Diceros bicornis minor: one gene and its partner. The protein of the gene in region 2 purifies or fractionates together with the protein of the main gene of each other region. This does not show direct contact. Links are inferred from orthologs where the notes say so. Each region holds a gene or a part of one and is shown on either strand. Other genes may lie near its edges.

Region 1 (3,750 bases), on a different chromosome or scaffold from region 2:
TAGTCAAGCATTATATACAAATACAGAAAGGTCTATGCCAAGTAACAAATGAAAAATATAACTCAAAATGAGGTATGCACACTGACAGTAAGTGCATTGATACACTCTAAAACAAAATGATGCAAGAAGGTTAACAAACAGTTGGTGATGTTAAACAGTGGTTTCCAAGGAACGAACTTAATCACACCTTTAGAGGGCCGTAGAAAACTTCATTTTTAACAAGGGCCCCAGATGATTCTAAGTTTTGATTGAAAGTGCAATTTGGGGAAGCACTTTTAACCTCCATTGTGCGTCAGATTACATACACAATAAAATTAAATTGTAAATCATGTAATCGAACAGAAGTAATTTATTTATATAAACTATTAATAGATACTAAATACAATATGGTTTTAAAATGAAATCATGTGTATACAGTTGTCTTCATAAAGAAAAGTATACTAATCAAAAGCTATACAACAACATTAACAGCAAATCCAAATACAAATGAAGATATTCTTCTGAATTCCATGTCTCATCGAGCATCAAAAACCACCACTGTATTAAACTGAGTTAAGGACAAAAAAAGTATTTAAAAATTGATCTAACACTTCCAAGTCACTTTCTCTTTGCAATAAGCTTGTTTGTTATTTAATCTAAAATGCACAAAAAAATGGAATTCACTATTTACTATGACAAGTGGAAATGAACTAAAAAAACTATTTCTATTTTTATTAGTCCCCTTTCCAAAGTGCAAAAGACCAAAGCACCAAAAAACACTGAAGCAATGTTAAAGGTGATAACTTATTGATTTAAAAAACATTGTTAGTTACCACATAACAATTTACTCTCTTTCAGCTAATTTGTAAGCTTCACTTTTTCCATCAGGTAGCATACATACACAATATTGTGATTTCTCCTTGTATAATTTAGTTTGTTCATAAACTCAAGCTCAAGAATGAGTACTTTGTGAAATAGAGAATCCCTGAAAAACAGACTTAAGAGAACCAAAATCAACTAGTATTTAGATTATTTAGTATATGCCTATACATTGGCATACTGGTCCATGAAAATGCTAATCATGCCTTTTTTGGTAAGTAATCCAAAAGTTATTACCATTTTACCAGAAATTAGTCTTTGACTCGCAACCCAAGCATTACTCTTCACTTCCTCCCATCTCATATTTAGAAAGCATAGTTAAAAGGATACATCTTTTAGTCCTTTTCTTATACATTATTCTGTATCCACATTCTCTGCATCTGATTGGATCTCTGGATTTTATTTCATTTTCTGTGTGACATTCTAGAAAAGAAAACACATTTATTCAATGTCTAAAGGGAAATATTACAGACAAACAAATTATCTTAACCATATTTTTCACCCAGAACACCAAAATATACTCCATCTCAAGGGAATGTTGCTATCACCAATATATTAATGGGGAAAGAAAAAAAGATGTGGTGCAATGCACTTTTTCAGGACAGAAATCTTAATGAGAGGATTTTTTTACGGTTGCTAAAGTATTCTGCTTTATAACTTTAAACTTGAGCGACGCATTTAAGCCAAAGATAAAAGTAGAAATTTCAAAAAACTGAAATAAAATACCCTTACTTTATGTAAGTGCTACTCTTACCTCCACAGATATATATCATTGGCTGCTGCTTTGGGGGTTGAACGTCCTTCTGGGTGTCCATTGTTAGTCCCTGAAATCACAGACTTAAATACTGAATATCTCAAAGGGGCTCTTCACAAATCCAACCAGCCCTCATTTTTCTCTGAAAGCTAAAAACGTCCCAATTCCTAATCTGTACTTTTTCAAACCCTATGAGGTGTAAAGCACGAAACAAAAAAACAACATATTGCGCAATTACCCCCAAACTGGACACAAAAGTAAATACATTATACGTGTTATTTCATTTATACGTCATTTCACTACAATCTTTACAACACTCCTAGGAGGTATTACTCTCCTTTTACAGATGAAGAAACCGAGGCTTAGAAAAGTTAATTTGCACAGGATTATTCAGCTATTAAGAGGCAGAAAGATTCAGATCGACTTTAGCAGGAGATGGCCACAAAAATAATACCCCTCAACAGGGGAACAAGCGAACCGAAGATAAGGGAAGGATAATGAAACAACCCCCAATAGCCAAACAGCTCAACTGAAAGAAACCAGGCAAAGGACTAAAGCATTGACTCTATCCCCAGCCTCTCCCAACTCTAAATCCACACCAGACCTGTTTAACCCGAGTATCTTGCCAGTTTTGGCCCAAAATCCCAACCCGCCAATTCCCTACCCACCTAGCAAGGAGAACGTTCTCACCCTACGGTTCCACACAGATTCCGGCTCGTCGCTCCGTCTCAGCCAACTTCCGGCGTTGGTGTATGACGCGGAGTGGAGTCTCCGCCCCTTCCGCCCTGGGCGTAGCCGAAGAACCCGGATTGAATACAGGCGGTCAAGCCGGGCGTTTTGCATATTAGGCTTAGCGGGCAATAGTGCATGTTAGCGTTACAGCTATTTTCATTTTTCAGCACGTCAAAGCATTTTAACAGTTCCTCAAGTCAAAGGAAGTTCGTTTTCCTGACTAATGTAGTCTGTAGAAAGTAACACTTTTCCAGAAGGGCGGGGGGTTAGAAGAGAAACCAAAATGACAAGTGCCCGTGGAATCCTAGGCTAACCATTATTCCGAGGAACGTGGGAGAATCGACTTCACTGCTGATTTTTCACGTGGAAAAACACTTTTCAGATTATGTTTTTCGAACGGTTTGATATCTGTGCTGGGGCGGTGGAGCAGACGCCTCCTATCCTTCACATAATTTCGTTTTTGCTTTTCGACCCTTTCTGTTCTAGGCTCCTGTCATCCCTCTCACCCACTCCTTTCACTCATTTTAAAGCAAAGGCGGGCGTGAGGGCAGCTACGTCAATTACTCCCACCTACAGCTGAGGGATTTTGGTAGCGGTGGCTATCCACTGACGCTCCTTCCGTCACATGTATTGTCCTCCAGAACAACAAAGTAACCTGCCATGTAAGGTTGGGTTCTTTCAAAGATCAAAATTTCAGTGAGATTAATGTCAGTTGGTTTTACAACATTTACATTCATTTGCTTCTTTCACAGTAGTATTTTACTTACAACAGAAGGAGGAAGAAGAAAATGAAGTTATTAAAATTTAGAAAATAACCAGTCGTTAACAACTATTATAGTTAATCGGAGAAGCAGATTTCTTTCTCCCCAACATGCACTACATCTTTGCTTTCTCACTAAGCAGGCTATACTGCTTTCCCATCTTGCATCCAGCAACTTGAGAACTTTGAGCTTAACCTGTCACTTTCAGAAGGAGTTCCAGCTGGTTGCACCTCCACAGACCAACTTGTGAGATTTAACTTGATATTCCCAGTCTTCCTAGCTGCCAATTTTTTAAATTTCCAGGGAAACACACCGGAATTTCCTGCTTCTTCCTCCACAGACAGGCTAATATAGAGCATAAATATTTGGACCATCAGCTCTCTCACAACATACTTCTCCTCTCAACCAAAGAAAAGAGGTAATCCAATAGAAGAGTCAAAATAAGCTTCCCTACAAGCAGTGTTAGATAAAACCATTGTTATCATGAGAGAAAGATAATGGAGTGATCCAGAAAGTGTAACTTTAATCATTGGAAGCTGTCCTGGATTCTGACTTCCCAGTTAGGGTATCAAGATGATTCTGGCAGGGCCGGCCCCCTGGCTTAGTGGTTGGGTGCGCACACTCGGCTACTGGCAGCCTGGTTTG
Region 2 (3,750 bases):
TTAGAGATGAGCAGCAGAAGGCGGATCTAGCAAAGGAGACTGAGAAGGTGTGGCCAGGGAGGGAGGCAGACAACCTGGAGAAAGTAAAAACATTTTTCAAGTGTAAAGTGAGGTGACGAAATATATGAGAAATCTCTGTACCTTCCTCTCAATTTTGCTGTGAACCTAAAAAGCTCTAAAAAAATTAAGGCTTTAAAAAAAAAAAGAAGATAGTCAGGCAAAACGAATCTAAGATGATAGAAATCAAAAAGTGGTGGGGATAGACTGAAAGAGGAACTTTCTGGGGTGATGGAAATGGTCTATACCTTGTATTGGTTGGTAGCTATTTGGGTATACATAGCTGTCAAAACTAATGTAACGGAACACTTAGTATTTATGCATTTTACTGTATGTAAGTCTACAAAGAGGAATGAAAGAAAGATCAGAAGGAACTATACGAGAAGAGTAGAAAGATCTTAGGGGTGGGTGGGGGATGGAAAAAGGCTGGAGAAGTAAGCAGTGGCCAGAATGAGAAAAGCCTTATTAACATGGTACAGACTTTAGATTTTGTCCTAAGAGCAACAGGCAGAGACTGAAGAATTTTAACCAAGGGAACAACATGATCATATTTGTGTGTTGTATGTTTAAAGTGATGGCTGAGAGGAGAGAACAGACTGGAGTGGGACAAGTCAGGAGCCTAGGAGGCAAGAGATGACTGTGGTTCAGACTTGCAGAATAGCAGGAATGAAGCTTCAGACTTGAGTAGATTTTGCAGGCGGGACCCTTAAGATGGGATGGTGGACTGGATGGAGAAGGCCAGGAAGAGGAACTGTTATTCCTGAATCAGAAGGCTGGAACTGTGATTTTGGTCCCTTCATAGCTGTGCAAATTCAGGCAGGAAATATAAATCCTTTAGGCTTATTCCTTCAGCTCTCTGGAGAAGGAGTCCAGTCAGCAGTTAAGGATGAAGACTCTGGAGTCAGACTACCAGAGCCCAAATTCCAGATCAGCCACTTACCAGCCTTCTGACACTGGGTTAGTTACTTAGCCTTTCTGGGCCTCAAAACCCTTCATTGGCAAAATGTGGTGAAAACAGTCCTTACTTCAGAGAATTAGATAACGAAATGCCTGTTAGGCTTAAACAGAGCCTGCCTCATAGTAAGTGCTCTTAACATTAACTCTTCAAGAGTTAAAAATCCAGTGTTGCCTCATGATGATCAGCAGTGTATTGCAAGTACTCACAGATCGAATCTGATGGACTGATTATAATGTGACTTTATTCATCTGCCAAATGATTATAAAGAGGTTCTTATAATCCAATAGACTCAGGGATCATGTCACTCTCCCGCTTAAACCCTTCAATAGCATCTCACTGTTCCTTCAGATGTCTAACAAAACCTTTCATGATCAGGACTCTTACCTACCCTTCATCTTTCATCTCTCCTTTACCCTTCTCCACTCCTACTGCATTTTAGCTCCTCAAAAACATCAGACGGTCTTGCCAACGGGGTTTCAAAGAATCCTGTTCCCTCTACCTGAAATCTCTCGCCTATCTCAAGCCTCATTTCTCCAGGTCCTCATTCCACGCCAATGAAGATTTTGAGGCCCAGAGAGATTATATGAGCCTTTCATACAACCTGTCAACAGCTGAACTTTATCAGGTAGCTCACTGTAAGGCAGTTATCCTTAATTTCTGATAATCTGGTGCAAGCTATGGGGCTGCTCCCCAGAAAACACCTAGGAAAAATTTTGAGTAGATGTTGGGGGAGTTTAAAATACTCCTGCAGCCCAAACTTGAACTCCAGGTTAAAAGGAAGGAAAACTAGTCTGCGATTCAGACGACTTGGTTTTGCCACCACAGCCAGCTGCAGGACCTCACCACAGTGGCCCAGGCTCCCTGGACCTCACTGTCCTCTCCAAGCCCGCGAAGATGCAATACGTCCCCCAAGGTGGGCGAGAGCCAGCCCTCCCCCGACACACAAGAACACTGGACAGGGTCCAACCCTAAAGGCGCCCGAGGGGCCGCTCGGCCCCCATGGCGGCTGACAGCTCGTCAACGCTGGCGCACGCGGCGGCCGGCTACGGAAAGGAGGCCCCCCCCCCCCACGTGGCGGCCTGCGCTTGCGCGGAGTACTAAGCATGCGCACAAGCCCCGGCCCGCAGCCCTCCGCGCCGAGAGCTCTCGGGGCAACGCCTCCAGGGGATCGTGCCGGCCCCTTCGGCTACCCGCGCGCCGTGCCCTCACCTCTACAGTCGGGATCGGCGCCGCCAGCTGCTCCGGGGTCAGGTTCCCAAACTCCTCCGCCAGGACGTCCATGCTGCTCACGACGAAGGAAGAAGCAAACAGAACCCCCACGCAGGCTTTCGCTGCCCCAAGCAAACTGCACCGCCCTTGGACAGCGGTGCGTCGAGGCCTAACTGCTCCCCGCCGTGCAGGTTAATTGAAGGCGCGACAGAAAGGTTCCGCCTGCCCTCTGCCCGAACCTACGGTGGAACCCGGATGTGATTGATGCGAACCTGGGAAACTGCGCCCCCTGGTGTCGCTCGGAGGTCTCGCCCGAGTAATCCTAAACCCTAGCCAATAGATTCATGGCCAGTTATCCCATCATTGAGACCAATAAAGCATATTGGTTGTAATTTTTTAAATGATTCAAAGAAAAGGGTAAACGGATAATGTGTGCGACTTGAGCCACCGAGGCAGAGAATTCATTTAATTGTCCAAAACTACACGTTGTATAGTATGGAAAAATAAGATACTTACCAAATGCCTAGTAGTAGGGGATTGGTGTAAAAAAATTATGGTGCAAGTGTGATAGAATATCATACAACCATTAAAATGACCATAAAGTGAGGAGGAATTAAATTACTAGAGAGTAGAGTATAACAGGACAGTAATTAAGACTGTTATACTCTAAAAGGACTAGAGGGAAGATCTAGGAAGAAATACCAGGAAGTGGAGAAATTTTGTATGAAAAGACATTTTAAATCAGTAGGGGAAAGATGGATTATCCAGTAAATGATGTTGGAACAGCTGATTAGCCATTTAGGAAAAAAAATACATCTAAGTAAATCCTATATGGATTAAATATTTAAATGTTAACACTTGAGAAGAAAATAAGTGAATATATTCATAACATTGAAATGGTGAAGGCCTTCAAGGATGGCAACAAAGAAATTGTAAAGGAAAATATTCATGGATTTGCTAATATAATTCTAACCATAGTTTTATGATTCCATGAAGAATTTAAAATTTTCTGAACAGATTTTTAAAAATCACGACAAATAGAGTTTTTAAAAAAAACAAGTTAGTAGAAGACAAATGGTTGGTATCCCTAATTTAAAATGAACATATACAAATCAATAGGAAAAAAAATCCCATTGGAAAAAACAAGGCAAAAGATACCAACAATTGTTTAATGGGTTTGGAGTTTCAGTCTGGGAAGATGCAAAAGTTCTAGAGATGGATGATGGTGATGGTTTCATGACAGTGTGAATGTACTTAAGGCTACTGACCTGTACACTTAAAATAGGTAAAATAGTAAATTTTATGTATGTTTTACACAATAAATTATGAAAATTTGTAAATAAAAATTTGCTGTTTTCTCATCATGAATGTAGAGCATCGTGTTAGTCTAATTCCTGAATTAGGTACTTCAAGTAAATTTCAATGCCTGTATCTTCTAAGTATTGTGCTGATGTCTGAAAGTAGGAGGAGAAAGGAAAGAAGAATTAAAAGAAGAATCAGCTCCTGCTCTTGAAGATCTTACAGTT

What was found. Proteins that work in one complex are often made in the same cells at the same time.
Region 1: the proteins of POLR3B (region 2) and POLR2K purify together in Homo sapiens (affinity purification with mass spectrometry; 3 studies listed by BioGRID and IntAct, with this or other methods). This does not show direct contact. The link is inferred for Diceros bicornis minor from reciprocal best matches to the Homo sapiens genes POLR3B and POLR2K.

Annotation. Positions count from the first base shown.
Region 1 is NC_080760.1:18,723,481-18,727,230, reverse strand, and holds POLR2K (DNA-directed RNA polymerases I, II, and III subunit RPABC4), read right to left. Parts: upstream 2,356-3,750; 5' UTR 2,281-2,355; intron 1,683-2,280; 5' UTR 1,674-1,682; coding exon 1,613-1,673; intron 1,282-1,612; coding exon 1,189-1,281; intron 538-1,188; coding exon 515-537; 3' UTR 327-514; downstream 1-326. UniProt on the Homo sapiens protein: DNA-dependent RNA polymerase catalyzes the transcription of DNA into RNA using the four ribonucleoside triphosphates as substrates.
Region 2 is NC_080764.1:17,802,251-17,806,000, forward strand, and holds the start of POLR3B (DNA-directed RNA polymerase III subunit RPC2), read right to left. Parts: upstream 2,449-3,750; 5' UTR 2,297-2,448; coding exon 2,225-2,296; intron 1-2,224. UniProt on the Homo sapiens protein: Catalytic core component of RNA polymerase III (Pol III), a DNA-dependent RNA polymerase which synthesizes small non-coding RNAs using the four ribonucleoside triphosphates as substrates.